3 linked regions of the Drosophila melanogaster genome follow. The protein of the gene in region 1 purifies or fractionates together with the protein of each later gene. This does not show direct contact. Each region holds a gene or a part of one and is shown in the gene's direction. Other genes may lie near its edges.

What was found.
Region 2: the proteins of Mad1 (region 1) and Ulp1 purify together in Drosophila melanogaster (affinity purification with mass spectrometry, with the first as the bait; one study listed by BioGRID). This does not show direct contact.
Region 3: the proteins of Mad1 (region 1) and RAF2 purify together in Drosophila melanogaster (affinity purification with mass spectrometry, with the first as the bait; one study listed by BioGRID). This does not show direct contact.

The regions. Positions count from the first base shown.
Region 1 is NT_033778.4:9,288,457-9,293,549, reverse strand, and holds Mad1 (mitotic arrest-deficient 1), read left to right. Parts: upstream 1-1,984; 5' UTR 1,985-2,092; coding exon 2,093-2,213; intron 2,214-2,269; coding exon 2,270-3,324; intron 3,325-3,377; coding exon 3,378-4,189; intron 4,190-4,250; coding exon 4,251-4,455; 3' UTR 4,456-4,593; downstream 4,594-5,093. Other genes in the region: Cog6 (component of oligomeric golgi complex 6), read right to left, coding at 4,638-5,093.
Region 2 is NC_004354.4:19,202,121-19,210,003, reverse strand, and holds the start of Ulp1 (Ulp1), read left to right. Parts: upstream 1-1,816; 5' UTR 1,817-1,970; intron 1,971-2,211; 5' UTR 2,212-2,244; coding exon 2,245-4,931; intron 4,932-5,067; coding exon 5,068-5,940; intron 5,941-6,012; coding exon 6,013-6,177; intron 6,178-6,236; coding exon 6,237-6,438; intron 6,439-6,517; coding exon 6,518-7,132; 3' UTR 7,133-7,883. Other genes in the region: CG14195 (uncharacterized protein), read left to right, coding at 1-385, 458-806, 876-1,183.
Region 3 is NT_037436.4:16,384,690-16,391,392, forward strand, and holds RAF2 (RING-associated factor 2), read left to right. Parts: upstream 1-1,637; 5' UTR 1,638-1,881; intron 1,882-1,936; 5' UTR 1,937-1,947; coding exon 1,948-2,267; intron 2,268-2,331; coding exon 2,332-4,659; intron 4,660-4,715; coding exon 4,716-4,931; intron 4,932-4,989; coding exon 4,990-5,188; intron 5,189-5,246; coding exon 5,247-5,495; intron 5,496-5,612; coding exon 5,613-5,654; 3' UTR 5,655-6,127; downstream 6,128-6,703. Other genes in the region: Agpat3 (1-Acylglycerol-3-phosphate O-acyltransferase 3), read right to left, coding at 739-765; CG44836 (uncharacterized protein), read right to left, coding at 6,433-6,663.

The DNA.
Region 1 (5,093 bases):
GATGCGGACGCGAGTGCGGAGCATCCGCAGCGATACGCCTTGCTAGATACACTCGCCAAAGGTTGTCATATGAAAAATTCACATAGATGGAGCAGAGTGCCTGTAGTTTAGGCCAGGCATGAATCGTATCCATTGCACCCATACTCAAGCAGCAAAATAAAAATTTGCCTAATCTTCTCTAGAAGTTGATTTATTCATGCATCCTGTTGTGTTGCTCTATAAAGAACCTATCTTTCGTTCAGCTGACCACGTAAAGAACAAAATATCTACAAAGACCAAGTCAAAGAAATATTAAAATATATTATAAATTTTACTTTGTTCAAATTGCATGTTATTAAAAAAAATCTATTACCTAGTATTATTTTTGATTATTTTGTTTCTACTGCTTAATTAAAAAATTCATTCCTACAGAGAATAATTATTTGTTACACGCAGCATTTTTATTATTAAGTTGTAGTGTTGGGTTAAACTTCTTTGGAAAAATATGACATAGGGTTAACTGTTTTAATGTTGGGAGAGGCTAACACCGTTGGTTGCAGATGTGAATGATGGGGGATGGTGATGAAGTGAGAACAGCTGATTTTGGCAAAGTAACTTGCGGTACCGTGGTGATCGGGAAAACTAAAACGGTTAAGCCGTAGTTGCCGGCTTTGCTTTGCTTTTAGCACGTTTGCACTTACCTCTCTGGCCATTACGACATGTTATCACCAGCGGCACCCGCTTAGAGGGTCTGCCATTTGCTCAGCGGCAATAACAACAAAAACAACACGGGAGCGCCTCTTAGAGCGAGGGAGTGGGAGAGGCAACAACAAAGCACACGCTTTTCGCGATACGAGAACTCTCGTGCGTCTACTTAAGTATGTGTGTGTGTAGGCGGCAAGCGGTATAGACGGAGAGACAGAGAGAAAGAGTGTGGGAGGAGTGTGTGCGTGTGAGTGTCTCAAAAATTCTCTACTACACGTTTATTTTCAATCTTCTCTTCCCGCACATTTCTCCAACGCGCCGATGCTGTTTCGTTCTTCCTCTTGCTTTTCTATCCTGTCCTTTGGCTTCCTTTCCTTCTTCCTCTCCACACCAATCACTGCGTGGGTATGTGTGTATAGGTGTGTATTGGAATTCGCAAAGGTATTTGATTAGGAAAGCTGGGATTTGTTTAAACAATTAGCATGCATCACTTTTTGCAAATTTGTTACAGTAACTTGGGTCAACCCACGCCCACTTTTATAGGTGCGGCTGTTGGGCAGGATTTGCTTTTTGGCAGTGGTGGTGGTGTACGTGTGCGGGATGCTTCTGTGTGCGTGCGAGAGAGCACATTGGAGTACCGTTATCGCTGGAGCCACATTTTCTTATTTGACATACACTTTTTTGTTGCACACGCACACGCGTTTCGTTGTTTTTTTTTTGTTACTTTAGTAAAATTTATTTTCTATACTCTCTTTCTTGAAAGCTTTCTTTTAACCGTTTTTTGTCCTTATCTCTTGGTATGTACGACACACACGCTTCACATACGTTCTAGTTTTTGGCAGTTGTTCAATTGTTCGAATTAATTCCGATTTCGGAATTTGTTGTTTTAACGATTTATGAGTTTTTTCGGTGCGGAAACAATAACATTTAATTCATTTTAAGCCGAGAAGAAATGCAAATCAATTTTTATTTTCGGCAACACTCGAAGAACTATCGTTATCGATTGCGATTTCTTTTACCTGTAGTATTTCGTGTAACATACTTTTGGGTGGTGCAGAAAAGAGTCACGCTCGAATATACTAAACTGGGCTGCCAACTTAGCTTTTGATTTGTTTTCTTGATTTTATATTAACACACCAAATAAAGAAATTGCTTAAGACAACTGTCCCTTTTAAGATATTATTTCCCAGATTAATATACGTATATTTGATTATTGGTGACAATTTTGGATACAAAAGCCAAAGTTATCGGCCACTTTAATACTAATAAAATATGACCAATATTTGGCATTTCTTGTCTAAATATTTGCAGCCACTCTAAGATTAATATTTTACCAACTTCTTTTAGCAATAAAAAGTAAATATCTTTACTGAAAACGTCAACTAAGGTCTCCCACATACAACTTAAAATGGACGACATACGTAGCAGCATAGATGATATGATGGACCGCTTTAACGACAGCATTACCCATTCGGCACCCAAGAAACTACTTTTCAACCGGCTTTCCGCCTCCTTCGATTTAGGAGTTTGTAAGTTGTAATTTACAGGCGCGAACGTAGAAACTAACAAGTAACTCCTCTACTAGCACCCAATAAGCGACGTCGGGAACGGGAATCACCGGAACGCAGTCTTAACGACACCGCCTCTTCCCTCAATATGCCCGCCAACGATTCCATGGCTTCTTTGCAGAACAGCAAACTACGGACCGAGCTGATCGAAACCAAGGCCATAGTAATTCAGCTGCGTAACGAAATCGAAAAGAAGAGCCGGGAACACAAAGAGGCCATATTGCTGGCTGAGAACAAGAGCACGGCCTTAAAGGATCAGTGCGACATCACCAGCAAGAAGAATTTGGAGCTGCAGGACGATCTTAAGGCGCTTCGTAAGCGAGAGCTGGTCTTGAAGAATGAGGCCAGTCGGGCCACCGCCGAGTTGAACCAACTTAGGCTTAAGTTCGATGAATCCACGCTCAAGTTGCAGAAGGAGAAGTACCTGCAGAAGGAGGATGCCCGCGATGTGCACCTGTGCATCAACAACGAACTGAGCGAATATCGCCGCATAGCCCAGCGGGCCGATCTCGAACTGCAGTCTACGCGCAACGAACTGGAGCGCCTACGTCAACTCAATGAGGAGTTACAGGCCAGGGCTTCCGGATTCGAGCAGCTGCGCGCCAATCACGAGAAGCAAACGCAAAGCTTGAAGGTGGCCAACGATCGCATTCAGGAGCTGGAGTTCGAAATTCAGTCGTATAGCGACTGGAAGGAGGTGGTCAAAACCTCACGAGAGCGCCTGGCCAGTGTTCCAGATTTGCTAGCTGAGGTGGAGCATCTGCGCAGCCACAACAAGCATTTAAACACTCTGATAGGCGATAAATTGCTTCTGGAGGAGCAGGTCTACGACTACAAAACGCGACTGGAGCGGGAGGAAGGTGCTCGGGCGGAAGCAGCTTCCCTGCAGGTGAAACTGCTTCACATGGAGCAAGAACTCAAGGAATGGGTCAAGGTGGCCCAGGATCACTGCTTGGCCAACACTTTGGTCAGCCCAATGGCCCTACGCTCGCGCATTGAGCAACTGCTAAAAGAAGACATCATTCACGTGGCAGAGAAGACATCATCGGCTTCGGATACCAAGCATTTGAATGTAGGTTTTGTCCAATGTGTTCCAAGTCCAATTTATCTGACTCCATTTTATAGACCACAATTCGAGATCTAGAGCATAAGTGCGCCATTTACTTGAAGAACATCGAGGATCTCAATATCGGACTGAAACGCCACAAGAACTTCAAGGAGCGACTGCAGCGCAAACTGATCACCGTGTCTAAGGAGCGCGACTTCTACAAACAACTGGTGGAAAACTTCGACAAGGACACGACCCTGAGCAATGCCAGTGTGGCGGACATGACGCAGGACATGCAGGTGCGGGTCCGAATGGAGGTGCTTGAACGCACCGTAACCGGATACAAGGACATGTGTGCCACGTTGGAACGCGAGATTCAATCCTTGCGCCAGCAGGAGCTTGTGAACGAACCTGCCGGAGAGGGATACGATAGCGTCAAAAAGGAACTGGATACGCTGCGGATGGAAAACGATCGGCTGCGTCGGCGCAAGGAGGAACTGGAGATGGAGATGATGCACCGCTGCTTGCGGGGCGACTTCAACATGAAGGACTTCAAGGTGGTACACTTTAGTGAAAATCCCGCTGCCGAAGCCTATGAGTCCACCAAAAACATGATGGAGAAGCTGCAGGCGGAGATTGAGCGACTCAAGCGGCGCAACAAGAAGTTGGAGGACGATAACGAGCAAAGGCTCAATGAAACCACCAGCACGGGCGGCATGACACTGAACTTTAAGGAGTTCAATCAACTTCAAGCCGAATTAGAGTCCGCCAATGGCAAGATGCGGAAGATGAGGGATTGCTTCAAGGCGGCCCGAGAGGAGTTCCGCGATGTGTGCTACATGCTGCTAGGCTATAGGATCGATCGAATCGGTGCCAACAGCAACTATCGGTGGGTAGCGATTCCATAGATCCTCCATCTTAGTTGCTAACATTTAATATTTCTCTTGCAGCATATCGAGCATGTTTGCAGAGGGACCGGATGACTATCTGGACATCAGCCTCAACGAATCGAACTGTTTGGCGCTACTGGAGTCGCCATATTCGCACACATTCAATCCACCTATTGATCAGCAGCTGGCAGCCAGCAACTTTCCCGCATTCTTTTCCGCCCTCACCCTAGAACTATTCCAAAAGGCCACTGTCACGATGACTTAGGTCATCATTACTTTAGTCTGTCTTAGCTTAAGCTAGCCGAGTATGAAGGCATTGAAACTTATTCTTGTCCGCATCAGATATACGATTGGTTTTTTATTTTACCACGCTAACAATAAACTTCCCCACATATAAATACATATAAATTATAGTAATGCACAATAGAAATTGGAATACCCAATCCACTAAGTGGAGGTCAGGATGTGAGCCACCTGCTCCGGCGTTCTGTGCAGCAGCTGCTCCGGCTGCTCGAAGCCGTTGGCCGGATCGTGGACGCGTTCGTAGATCTGCTTGTAGATGGCCACGATCACGTTGAAGGATCGCTTCTGAACGGCGGCCCGGTGACTGCTGGACATTATGAGCTGCACCTGCGGCAGGAGCAATACATCGGGTAGTTCCAGAAAGGCGTCCATCTTGGACATGAAGATCTTCAGCAGGTTTGTTTCTATTTTAGATTGATTGCTCTGCAGAATGGCGTAGATGGGACCCAGATTGAGGTTCGCCACCAGCGATGATGCCTGCTCGGAGGTCAGTGTGTCCAACTGGGCATCCGACTGCGCCTGCAGCCGCTCCACGCGCTCATCCATATATTCGTAGACAGCCAGCGAGCTTTGCATGTGATGCAGACAGTTCAAAAGGTA
Region 2 (7,883 bases), on another chromosome or scaffold:
GGACCAGCTGGACGGATTGGACACGCTCTCATGGCGGAATCCGGCCACCACCGAAATGGCCACGCCCAGTGGTGCCGTCGCCGCCGCTGTGGTGGTGGACACGCACAGCAACTACATGCTGGCCACCGATGAGGCGTATGTGACGTATGTGAATCCCAACGGGGTGGAGATTATGGAGATCATACCCGAGGAGGACGAGACGGTGTCCATGATGCGGTCGAGCAATGCGACCATCGACAATTATGCCATGTCCGCCTCGCAGATGTCGCACAAGTCCCTGTCCAATGGACGTCTCTATCCACTGACGCCCCAGCATCCTTTGGGCACAGGAACGGGAACTGGTACAGGTAGCTCCTCACCCCTACCTCCCGATTATGCCAACCTGGTGAGTAGTGCGCAGGCTTTGTGGAATATGGTGACCGGATGTGAAACCTTTCCGTATGCTCCTCATTTTCAGCGCCGCATCCGGCGGATGTCGCGTGCGGTAACCACGCACCTGTGGTGGAATCTGCTGGACAAGATCGCCATGCCGCTGCAGCAGGCGCTGCTGGTGCCGCAGCTGTACGCCACCACGCTGCTCCTCTCGGCGGACATCTTTAGCTACGTGATGTGCCTGACGGTGCTACCCGGACTGGCGGTCAGCCACCATGCGCTGAAGAACGCCGAGATCCCGTTCCTCTTCTCGCTGCTGGCCTTCCCATGGATGTGCTTCTCCCTGATGACTCCGCGCTTCGGCACGAGCCTCTATAAGCGGAAGCTCCAGTGGCACACGCTGGGCAGCATCTGCAAGTGCCTGGCGCTGATCTGTGAGTCATGATACCCGTTTCAAGCTTTCCCCGGGCCATCAATAGATCCATCTTTTGTTTCGCTTCCAGTCATCAGCTTCTCCACCTCCAAGCTGCTGCTCAGTGTGTCCGCCGTGCTGCTGGGATTTGGCCAGGTGGTGACCGCCTTTCTGCAGGAGCTGGTCTTCCAGATGGGCATGACGCGGGCCAACTGGACGGCCATCCGCCGTCCGGTGCACTTCACCAACGGCCTGCTGGTTCTCCTCTGGGGCGCGCTGGCCCACTGGGTGGTGGAGCGGTACTCCTTCCAGGCCACCGTGGGACTGGCCGGCGCCCTTTACGGAACTACCACGCTGCTCTGGAACTTCCTCTTCTTCTGCTGCCAGAGCAAGGATTGAGGGACTGAAGAATTCGCGCACTCTCACACAACAAGGCATCGTGTATGTGTGTGTGTGTGTGTGCTGCTGTGGCTGACGTTGTTGTTGTATTTGTGCAGTGATATTAATAAATAAATATATAAACTATAAGCAAGCTACATACATTTTAACATAAGTCTTAAAAGTCTTATTACGTCAATTTGAAAAAAGAATGGAATGCTGGCCTTTAAAATATCCCTAAAGAACTGCTACAGAAGTAGCTATAGCCTTTTAGCTATTTTTCCATTAAGCTGTGCTGACTACTGTACTTTGGAAATGTGGACAGTTTTTTTCCGATTAAAATAAGTTTAAAAGTATAAAATGTTGCGTTCATTCTAGAGATTGGTTCAATTTTTTAGAAATCTGTCGCACACTAAAAAAAATGCATGTTCTTACAAAATTCGCTGTGTAAGAAATATTGAAAATATTGAAATATTATTGGAAAATATTGACGAAAAATTTCCCTTTTCACCGAATTTGTCGTATTTTTACAGTAAGACTAAATGCCGTTATTTCCTCAGATATTTCTAGGTAATTACATTCGCTGCGTGACGAAAGCTGCCTGCTATGATGCGGCAGCCAGACCCAACACTGTTGGCCGATATCGATTGGTTTGGTATTATAGAGCAATATCTTGTACGGTCATACTAAGGCACCAGTACGCCAAAACCGAAATTTTCTTTCTTTACTCAATTTTCATCGAGCTAAGTTGCGAAAATTTTCTCAAGTCACAGTGAAAAGTGTACATTGTTTAAAACCTGGCCAAGGGGTAAGTGTTTGTTGCAAGGCGCTTGTGGTGTGGCACTCAGTGCGGTGCAATAGCAGCGTCGGCATTTTCCGGCGGCCGCAGAAGTGGCACCAAGCAAAGACGGCGAAAAACAGCGAAAAATGCGCAAAATCGGGCTTCCTTTTTGCCGGCTCGTTTTCCTTTTTTGCTTATTCTTCTTCTTGCGATTCTTGAAAGCGAATGCGTGTGGAAAAATAATTTCTGATTAAATTTCAATTTGCAGCTAAAAGTAGCGAAAGCGGTAGCGAACACACGCATGTCGCTGCCTCCCGAGGACACCGATTTGTCCACAAATTCCGCATACGAATCCGCACTCCAAATCGCGAGCAATGTGTCGGCAGCACGAGTAGTCGGTTCGGCAGTAGGACAGCGATTTTCGCCGTCGCCAGCAGCTCACCCGAACGTGATTGAGCGCGTCGCGTCTCATGTGGACTCACGCCGCAGCACGTTTCCAAGTTGGGGTAATCCGTCAGTAGCGCCAAGAGGATCGGAAGAAGCAGCAGCCAACGCCACAGCAACACAACTCCTATGGGCGGAGAACCAAGGTCTCCCGACATCGCACTTATTGCCAACTGAACAGGCATTCGAGACATTGAACACTAATGCGTATTGTTCCCCGCCAGGGGATTCACGATTTACGTTCCCTAGCCAGAACTACTCGCCGCTGCTGCCGCGGTGTGTCCCAGTTCCGAATCAGCGTTACTCTCCAGATGGATCGCCAATACATCAACTCCATGAGCTGCAAAATTGTCCATTGATAGATTCGCCGATAAGACTGCGATTTCCATCCCCCTTGCCAGAACCACCATCACTACCGACCATCACCCTTACAGTTGATGCCCTGATCGATCTTGACCAAAACAACCAGGTCGCATATTATGTCCAGCAGTACAACAATCAGCCAGTCCTATATCAACAAAACATTCATATAGGAACGGGAATCCAACTATGCGATCAGGCCTCCGAGAATAATCAACCGATTATATTACATATCGTGGAGCACAATCCCCAGACTATAACTGAGAGCCAGGAGCAATTCCACCAGGTTGTCCCCGAAATTCAAATCAATAATATCCAGGAGCAAGATCAGAAATTTGAAAATGGCATCTCGGAACAAAATCATCCGATTGCAACTGAGGCTCAGGATCAGACTTTAACTGAGATCCGGGATGAAAACCAGATTGTCCTTGCAGTCCAAGAAAAAAATCTCACGCGTGCCTCTGAGATTCAGGACCAGAACCAACAGACATTAACCGAGATCCCAGAGAAATGTCTTCAGATTGCATCTCCTGTCACTACTGATATACAGGTACAAAGTCCTCAGGTTGTAATAGAGATCCAGGAGCAAAATCACCAGTCTGTAACGGAGATCCAGGAGGAAGTTCACCAGACTGCCCCCGAAATCCAAGTGAACGTTTTCCAGACCTCGTCTGATATTCAAGGGCAAAATCACCAGATTGTAACTGAAGAGCAAAATCATCAGACTATAACCGAGACCCAGGAGGATTACTCGGCTGTCTCCGAAATCCAATGGGAAAATCTCTCGTTTTCTGCTGAGATTCAGGAGCAAAACCAGCAGATCGTAACCGAAGTTACGAAGCTTGCATCTCCTTCTGTTACTGATATACAGGCACAAAGTCCTCAGTCCGTAATCGAGATCCAGGATGACGATGATGAAGATCTAAAGTTCGAATCTGATGATCTGCACACTATACCTGAAATCCAGGAGAAAAACCAACAAAGTCCTCAGTTCGTAATCGAGATCCATTATGATAATGAAGATCTAAAGTTCGCATCTGATAATCAGGAGCAAGATCAACAAACAGCCGAGCTCCAAAAGGAAAGGTTCCAGTTCGCATCTGAAATCGAGAAGCGAGATCTGCAGATTGTTACTGACACTCACAAACAAAATTATCACAATGTAACCGACATCCCGTTCGCAACATACATCCAGGAGGAAAACGAGCAGTTAACACCGGAAGACCAAGAGGAAGATCAACATTACCTGAATTTTGAGGGGAACCAACAATTCCAGCTCCAGAAGCAAGATCAGCTGAGTGTACCACAGATCCAGAAGCAAACCCACCAGTTCGAATCTAAGGTCAAAAAGAGAAAGTTGCAGCCCTTTTCTGAATACCAGCAGAAAGGTCAGAAAGATCATATCCAAGAGAGGCAGTATATTCAGCAGGAATTCACCATCCACTCTAACCAGGCTTATTCTAAGGTCCAGTATATACAAACTATACAAACTGCGACTCCGTACGTACCTCAATTGGAAATATCCCAGGAAAACAGTTTTGAGGTTCAACCAGCATACGAGGTAAACGAAGGCCAACGGGACAGAGAACTGGTTAGTTACACAGGCCACGAGCATCAGAACTTTGTTGATGAGGTCTCGACACCATTACCGCCCGCTGAAGCTCAACCAGGATCTACTTCAGAAGATATATCAGACCCCGTTTCACCTGAACATTGGGAGCAGCTAGAGTCACTCGATCCGAGCACTATTTGTATTCGCAAAACCTTCAATCTAATTCGCGATATCTCTGAAAGTCTGGTGGCCGATCCAGAGCAACCCGAAGCCGAAGCCCACCGGAAGTCAATTTTCCTTCTCCGCCAGAAGCTAGCCGATGTGTGCCATAAGGTTCTAACCGAAATTATACACGGCCGGGCCACCGATGAGATCATCTCCATTCTGAGAGAGATTCTCGAGCAAACTAAGGAAATACCTCCACGCCCCACGCCGAAAAGAGACCTCCAAGAAGACATTTCGATGGGCTTAGAAATATTAAAAAAGATCCGTGGTATGCTATCCGGTTGGTATTCTTCCAGAGAAAGCGAAACGGACTCCACGGATACCGGAACGGGATTCCAGGCTCAAAACGGAAAAGGTTTTGGTGCCGGCCGCCAGCCGGAAAATAGTTTTTTATCCCAGAAAAGACGGTAAGCATTAAGAATTTTATGTTATTTTTAATTTTGTTTACCTAAATCCAACTAGGTAAGCCTGCGCAACAATTTTATGTCATTCATTGCTACTCCCATGTAAAAATTTCAATTAATGTTTTTTCTCTACTTTCAGCAACCAAGAAGAGAACCCTCGTCTGATCAAGTACCGGCGTGTGGACAACAGCTTTCCCCGCTTGATAACGAATGAGACGGCCGAGGACCTGATTCCCAACAATTCGATGGCCAAGCGGGATCAGCCCCAGAGCTCAAAGCGGCTCTCAATATTTAATCCGCCGGTATACACGCAGCACCGAGTGCGCAATGATGCCCCCCACGTACCTACGCCATTTGACGATGAGGAGTCGTCACAGAGACTTGCTAACGCGGGCCCATCATCCAGGCCCATGACTTACTCGGATGCGGTGCGTCTAGGCCATAATGGCATCTCCGAGTCGCGCGTAAATGGGCACTCCAGCCATACGGTGCGCAGAGAACCGTCTCGGCTGCACAGAAGCATTCTGTCCCACGAGATGAACTGCAAGGATCAAGAGCAGTATAACGAACTTATCCGTACCCAAACAAATTACGTGGGCAGTCGCTACCTCAAGCCGGGTACCCCGCCAACGTTTCAGCGGGCTAAAGCCCAGTCGGCAACCAGTAGCAGCTGCTCACTGCAAGACAACCAATCGAATATAACAGATTCGTTCCCGTCGCCACATGGCCGTGCGAACCCTGAGCTAACGGAGTACGCCAAATTGATCAACCGCCAGGAGAATGAGGAGAACAGGTCTCCGGCACCACAGCAGCCAAAGCGAAACGCTAGCAATAGCTCTGCCAGCCATGCGTCCACTATTTCCAGCAGCGCATCTTCCTCCTGCAGCACTTGTTCAACTTGCTCATCTTCTGACACTGAGCCAATGTTGGTTAAAGATAGCCCGGAGGTCAAGGAAGCCAACGAAGCCAACGAGGCCAACGAAGCCAACGAAGCCAACGAAACCAAGGAAAAGTAAATAAATGCTTTATATCCAAACGTAAATAATTTGCAATAATCAAAAATCCTGATTTTATCACCAATTAGTGACGCACCTCAACCTACAACTACCAGAATCAAGAAACCAGACTTCTTGCACCGTCGCTTTGCCAACTGTATCTTTCTAAGGAATGACTTTGCGGAAAATTTCAAAGCAAGAGCGAATCGCCGGCAACTTGAATCCATGCATCTTCTTGGAATAGCTGAACAGCAGTAAGTATTTGTAACGCTATAATTAGGCCCAGTACCAAGAGGCTTTTTTCCAATTTTAGGGCTAATGAAAGCAAAGATGAACGCCTTGCCTATGAAAAAAAGCTGCGGGAAGTCATGTTCCGGTCTGGTGCTCCCCACCGGCCCTTTTTTGAAATCGGGCCCCTGGAACAGCCGGAAGAGAAGAAAGAGACCAAGCTCATTCCGCTAACAAAGGAGGACCACGCTCGCTTTCAAGAAATGACAACTATTGAGGTTACGACGGTAAACGAATATATTTATTTATTTATATGTGTACCCATTTAAAACGTTTATATGCTTGCGCTTTAAAATCTTATTTCAGAACTTAATTTTCAAATATAACCTACAAATAACTACCGACGACATATTCACGTTTGTTGATGGCGAATGGCTTAACGACGCGATCATCAACTTTTACATGTCCATGCTGACGGAACGCTCGGAGAAGCGAGCTGGCGAACTTCCCGCCACTTACGCCATGAACACATTCTTCATGCCCCGTCTCCTGCAAGCTGGGTATGCAGGCGTTAGGCGCTGGACTCGCAAAGTGGACTTGTTCAGCAAGGACATAATACCGGTGCCAGTGCACTGCGGCAACGTCCACTGGTGCATGGCCATCATACACTTGCGTAACAAGACAATCTTCTATTACGACTCAATGGGAAGACCAAACCAACCGGCGCTTGATGCTCTAGTTAAATATCTGCACGAAGAGTCACTAGACAAGCGCAAACAGCCGTTTGATATGACCGGTTTCGTTGTCGAGAACGCGCAGAATATACCACGTCAAGGGAATAGCAGCGATTGCGGTGTCTTCAGCTGCATGTTCGCCGAGTATATAACGCGTGATGTTCCGATTACCTTCTCCCAGGCGGAAATGTTGTACTTCCGCACGAAGATGGCCCTGGAAATCGCCGACGGAAAGTTGTGGCAGTAGGGGTTCAAGCACAAAACTACGCAAAAATGGAGAATTCAGTTCTTTACTTATTTTTACAAATCTTACGTAAACACTCCAAGCATGAATTCGCGACAAGTACTTAGCCATCGAACGAACTCGTTTATTCGATAGAATCGAGATGGCTGAGACCCCTGCTGGTGCATTAACTTGTTCTCATATCTGATTGTAAAAGAGAATCTATTTCTTCAATAAAATGTCACCAAGTAAAAGCGATGCGAATAAGGATGTATTAATCGCCGAATATCTTCAAGTTTATAATTAATATTTAGAATACAGCAAGCTATGAATATGTACTAATGTAATGTAATGTACTGCTCTAATCCTAACTCTAAACTAGGAATTACTGGATTTCATATTTTTTTCTTACATTGTCTTTTCTGTTTCATATCGTTAAGTTGAAAAGATCAGAGCCGCTGATAATTGAAAATCATACTAATACTCCAGTTTATTTTTGAATTTATCGGTTTTTTTTTTTTTAAAGAAAATGTCGCTATATTCCTATAAATTAGATAATATTAATAAGGAATCAATCTTAATTTAGTATTTTTGAAAATGTAGCTTATTCAAGCAAATACTTATTATACAAATATAGGTAAATGTGGGTTAATGGTATTAGTTTTGTTTTTGTAAAGATTTTCTCTAACCCTTAGGAAGTAGTACACCTTTCATAACCTAAGGTACATAATGTAATATAATTTATTTTTGCAGAGCGAACTAAACAGAAATATAT
Region 3 (6,703 bases), on another chromosome or scaffold:
CATTTTTTACATTTTGTACATGGAGATGTTTTAAAAAAGTACTAAAGTTTTACGACCGTTTTAATTATGAGTAAAAACGACAACTTTAAAACTTTAAACTAATTAAATCATTTCATTAAGGCGTTTAGCTATTCATATTTCTTATTAAATAATACTTGGCTTCGGATATTTTAGATATTTCAATTTAAGCAAATTTAAATAAGTTTCGAAACGATTTTCGGATTTTAAATAAACTAAAGTAATAGGTATTATATATTGAGATTATTATTTAAATGATCATGATTTACTTAAATTATGATTTAAAACATGTCAGCGGATAAAGTTTATCAAAGAAGTTTTTATTTGTATTTCTACAAAGTTATAAACAATGGTTGTAAAACGACCAATGATAAAGGTCAATCTTTTGTTTTGACACGTAATATAAAACTGGGACTGCATATATTTACATGCACAATGGAACGCACTACGTTTTTGTAATAGAAATGAATGCATTCAGTTGACAAGCACTGCTTTTTTTAAATTTCTTATTTCTTCCTATGATAATGGGATTTAAATCCAATGAAAAAAGGAGTACTTTTCATGCCATTTCTTATGCACACCGCCATTAGCTGAATCAACCGAAAATTCGCCGGGCCGAATTGATTGTATTTTTGATGCACTCAATTGGTGACCCCGACGTTGATTGCTGAACCCATTGTATTGAATTAGTTTACTTTTTCGATCGTCCACTTTACATACAACAAAAGAGTTCTTGTGCACGACCATGCGATTGTGTGCGTGTGAGCATGCATATACGTATGCATGTGCTCAGCTGGCGCACGTGTGCGAGTGTGTGTGTTTGGGAGAGGCGTGGGGTGGCGTGACGTGGTTAACATTTATGGTTATCAGTTCGCGATCTGCAAGGCAATAGCCACCCACAAACGATCAATAAACAAAGTCCTATTTAAAGGTATGTCTATCTGCAGCTGCGCCGTTCTTATCGGTTATTCCCTGTTACGCATATGCACATATATATACAGACACTGTCGGTCGTGCCCTTTGTTTACGAGTGTCACTGGGCGGGAATCGGTTGCTAAACACTGGTCACTACTATATGGTTATCACTCGGCGGCGTCGTGCCCGCCATTTACCTTTTTGGCAATGTTTTTGTGCGAATTGATTTGTTTTCTTTTGTAAGCCAAACGGTATGACCGTTCGAGTGCAATGACGATGACACCGGTGAACAAACGGAAAATCGCCACTTTTGCCTTTAGTATTTTTCAATATTTAATATTTGCCACCAGGGCTGTCAGGTTGCAATGTTGTAAAGGAAATCTGAATAATTTGGCTAACGATCTGCACTACAACTTATAGCTTATTAATGATTGATTTTTGATCTACGCTAACTTTTCCATAAATCAAAAAATGAAACTCTAGTGAGTAACTTATTCTAATATAGTTATTTGGTTTTTAGATATGAAATGACCGAATACCCCGAAACTAGTAATATTTAATAAGATTACTAGATTACTTTAATTTAATAAGATTAAAAATTTGTTTGCTTGGTTTACCTAACTAAGAACTAGTTGGAAGAACATATTTTATTCAGTATTATTTAAAGACTTTCCCAAAAGTGGTTACCCTATTGGTTTGCGTCCATACTAAATGCCTGTCAAAATTATTCGCAGAATTGAACGGCGAATTTTTTTTCGCATTTGGAAATTGGATTTTTGCTGAAAGTAAACGCTTTAAAACTGGTATAAACCCGAATTAGCCTATTTGGGGACTTGGGCCATTGTTTTAAGTGGTTTTCAGCAACTGAAAAGGTGAGCCCGTCGGCGGATTAGAATATTCAACCGGCAGACGATTTTTTGTTGGCCAAAAATTTGCAGACGTGAGCGCGTGAGTTTTTGAGGGGGTTAATGCCAAAAGATGTACATACCTGACCGTCGTCCAGTTGCAGGCCTAATGTCCAACGAGATCTACGACTCCTCCAATTCGCAGCTAAGTAGCGACGAGTATAGCCACGAGGAGGAGGAATACGACGCTCTAATGGACGCGGCGGTGAGCAAGCAACGACCCCAAAAGACAAAATCCAAGGGATCCGAGTCCGAGAAACCCGGAAATGGAGCTCCAGAATCGGCGGCTGCCACTGAGAAAAATGAAAAGCCAGATGACGATGCGGTGCCACCTTCCACGCGCTCAGAAACAATTCGGCGGATCCGGCAATTGCAGTTACAGCGTGGCAGGCTGCCCAATCTTTACTTCAAGCGTCGCAGTATTCGTTGGTAAGGCTTACTTCCCAAAGAACCTACTGAAACTGTAATCCTATCTTATCCGATCACACTTCAGGCTGCGACCCAATAAAATGGACTACAACAGCTATTTTGACGGCCTGAAGGACTTGCTGCCCAAGCGTAAATTGAAGCACCTGGTTCGCTTCCATGACAGGCAGCGCAGAACCTACGACAGCAGGAGCATCAGTCGTAGTCGCAGCCACAGCCGCAGTCTTAGCCGAAGTTGCAGTCGCAGTCGTAGTCGTAGCTATTCTCGCAGCCGCAGCGGCAGTGGTTCGCCGGAACTCATTTGCCTTGACGACACGGAGAACGAGGATTCGCCTGAGAAACCAGAGCAAGAGCCGGCAAGGGTTACGCCCATCAAGGAAAATAAGCCTACGCTTCCGGCTCCACCCCAACTAAACTACGAGCTGCCAGAAAGGAAGAAAGCAAACCCACTTGGAAACAACGAAAACGGTGCCTCTATCCTCGACGAGTTCCTGGTAAAGAAGGATCCCCAGGAACCGGTCTTCGACTACGGTAAACTCTCAGCGTGTCGGGAATTGGAACAGGCTCTAAAGGACCGGTCGCGAGATGCGCCAAATGAGGCAGAGTCGCTTGTGGTTGATGCCACTCTTAAAAGACGCCGTTCGGTAACACCGCCCGCTAGCGAAGAGAAGCGCAACAATGAAGTCGAGGATGATAATATAATTGGGTTTTCAACGGTGCAGCAACAGAAGCCAATGGAGGCAGCTCCACCATTAAATCTAAGAATGCCCACCACTCCATCGACTAATCCTCTTCAGCGTCAGCAGGCTTTTAAGCTGAGCACACCGTATACCCTGGCTCCGCCTACTGCCGCCAAGCAAGCTGACACTTACAGTTTAAATACTCCACCGCCAACGGCCACCCAAATGCAGATATCCTATCCCAACGAAAAGCTGTCAAATAACATGAAAGCTAATGCGACTTTCTCGATTCAACAGACAGCTTTATCCCAAGTCGCTGCATCCTATGCTGCTGCACCACAAGTGGCTGCCCTCGCGCAGAGAGCTCCATCTCAGGTTGCTCCACTACAACAAGCCCCCGTGCAACAGATGCACTTCCCAAGATCAGTTCCACCGCAGCAGCTTCCTCCACCACAGCAGCGAGCTCCTCCACAGCAACTGGCTACAGCTCCATTCGCTCCACCACGGCACCTGGCTCAACATAGACCATCTCCACAGCAGCTAGCTCCATCACAGCAGCTGGCTCCACCACACCAGCTAGCTCCACCACACCAGCTAGCTCCACCACAGCAGCGAGCTCCGCCACAGCAGCTAGCTCCACCACACCAGCTAGCTCCACCACACCAGCTAGCTCCACCACAGCAGCGAGCTCCGCCACAGCAGCTAGCTCCGCCACAGCAGCTAGCTCCACCACAGCAGCTAGCTCCACCACAGCAGCTAGCTCCACCACAGCAGCTAGCTCCACCACAGCAGCGAGCTCCGCCACAGCAGCGAGCTCCGCCACAGCAGCTGGCTCCGCCACAACAGCGAGCTCCCACACAGCATATGGCTCCACCACAACATATGGCTCCGCCACAGCAGCTAGCTCCAACACAGCAGCTAGCTCCTCCACCACAGCAGCTAGCGCCTCGACCACAGCAGCTAGCTCCTCCACCACAGCAACTAGCTCCTCCACCACAGCAGCTAGCTCCTCCACCACAGCAGCCAGATTCATCAAGACCAGCTTCGGTGCAGCCGTTGACCCCTCAAAGGCATGCTAGTCCACATCAGCTTGCCCAATCACAGCAGGTCCATCAATCGCCATCTCAACTGCATCCTGTTCCAGTGGCTGCTCCCAACTTTGCGGTGCCCCAACAGCCGCAACCCCGTCGATCGGAAACGGTGAGCACCCAGACGCAGGGCTTGGGGTCACCAGCGGCTTCTTCTTCGACAACCCGCCAAAAGTCATTCGTTGATCTCAATAATAGTGATGCAAACTTCCATTATCGCGTCAAAGAACTTTTCGATGAATTGAACTCGACAATGATTGATAAAATTAACTCGGTACCCCCTGATGAAGATTCATTGAAAAAAGAGCGCGAACGCATCGTTGCGGATCTTGCAGCCCTAGATAAGCTGATGGCCCAGAAAGAGGATGAATATAACCGACTGCTGTATTTGAGCTGCATTAAGAAGGAGCTGCATGAACGAATGGAGCGAAAGGAGCGCTTGATACGTATTAAGGACCTACTGCCCATCCTTATCAACAAGTGCGGCACCAAGGAGCTCAGTGAGGTAAAGGCTATGCTAGAAGAGGAAATCGATTCTCCAATGGCCTCCAAACATAGTTTGTCGGCAATTGAAAAATTACTGAATTACGCCGAGTTAAACCAGAACATCATACAGCTTCTGCGGGGGTAAATCTTTAAATGTTTAATTCTGAGAATCCCAAGTTAAAATTGATCGTTTTCAGTTCCTTGGGCTTAAATAAACGCGCACCGTCCGTGTCTCCGGCCAATTTCGAGGATGACCAAATGCTTTTTCGTAGAGATTCCTTGCCCGTAAGTCATCTATCAATGCGGGATCAGCATTACGAATCTCGGAATGCGGTAAATGACCATCTGCTAGATAGCAATCCAGACAGAGATCCGCCAGCCAAGCGACCGAAGCTAATCCACTCGCAAGACAGGTGAGAAAATACAAATAATATACTAGAACATATTATTTTAACGTCATATAATTTATAGTAACCAGGACATGGCAAGCTCCTCGACACATTTGTCAGCCAATCTTTCAGAGACGCTTCGCAAGATTAGGGCTTGGAAAAATTATTCGCATTTTAGTAACGTCTCAATGGAGGACAATAATTCGGATAATGAATCACAGATCGAACCGCTGTTCAACAGCAGTCCGATGGCCTCCCGTCGCCAACTGGCCAATAGACAGGTATGCACTTAATCACAATATTTTTTGACATTCCGCGAAAATAAATGTTTCTATTCAGTCCTACCAAGAACAACATTCCGCTAATATCAACGACCATGAGAATGTCCAAAAGAGGCACAAGTCTCACAAGCGCAAGTCGCATAAGCACAAGTCTCACAAGCATAGGAGCTCCCATAAGTCCCAGGCTGAATCTTCCGCCACCATCAACGGTAACACAGGTAGACAATGCCACGAGTGCAAGCTCTATGGAGCCACCTTTATGTGCTCCAACTGTCAGAATCAATGGTACTGCAGTCGTGAATGCCAGGTAAGCATTGTAGGATTTATTATGTATTTTATGCATTTTTTTAAATTGTTTTATCCAGTGACGCATTGAAGGAAAAGTACTCATGTTTACCTATCTTTTATAATACATTCGTTATAGCTGAGCGATTGGGACACACATCACCGAACTTGTGGCATTTAAATAGACTTCACTTAGGACATCAGCATTACTAAAACATAACTATATAGACGTATCGCATATGCACTACTATATATTTACTCAACCGTGTAACTCACTGAAGGACACAGGACACTGGCGGACCATTTTCAATTGCGTTTTATTGAATTAAGTGCTTGCAATTGTACTCAATCAATGAAGCACAATTTAAAGTGTAATATGCCTAGCTATTATAAGTTGGTAGGGATTAAATATAATAATTATAATTCCTTAATAATTGATTCCAATTTGCTTATGAACAACGCGCGAAATTCATTTTGTTTCAAAATCGTATTGATAAAATGTTCCTCGTTTTCCCACTTTTTTTGTTTGAAAATTAAATATCCTTGACTTCTTGTTTGCTACATAAAAGATATCTATTTAAGAATTAATATATTTATTTTCTGTTTCTTTGGATGTAATTCCATGCTAAAGGCAAAATAAACAAGTTCATATTTATTTACAAGCACTTATTATTTAATTTTTGGGAAGACTATTGAACCAAAAAGTATTAGTTCAACAAAATAAAGAAAATGATGAGACGTTTTAATACAATAATAGAAAGTGTTTTAAAATTGGTACTTATAAAATATAAAATTTTACCGTTTGCAGAACTGGTTGGCTTGGTCTATCGATAAATGGCGCCAAGTTTATTGTTCAAATTTCAAACAGAATTTTCTGTGAAATTCGACTAAACTTTGATAACATATAATTCGTATAATGGAATTTTTTCAGATCATTTAGGGCTTTGCCATCGCCTCATTTATTTACTGCGCCTGCGCACCTGGCACATCAGTTTGATGTCATTTATATGCAGCCGGAGTGGCTGCCTCCTGGACCACGGACCACGTCTCAGTTTCCGGATGCGCAGCTGCCGGCTGCAGTAGAGCCGGAATTTCAGATTCGGATTCCAGACGGCACCGGCCGAGGCGGAGGGCGTGACGCACTTGTAGGCATATTGCCACCATAATCGAATGCTCTGCTTGGTGCTGTGCTGGAATCGAAAGGGGATTGGATTCAATAAGTGTGGAAGG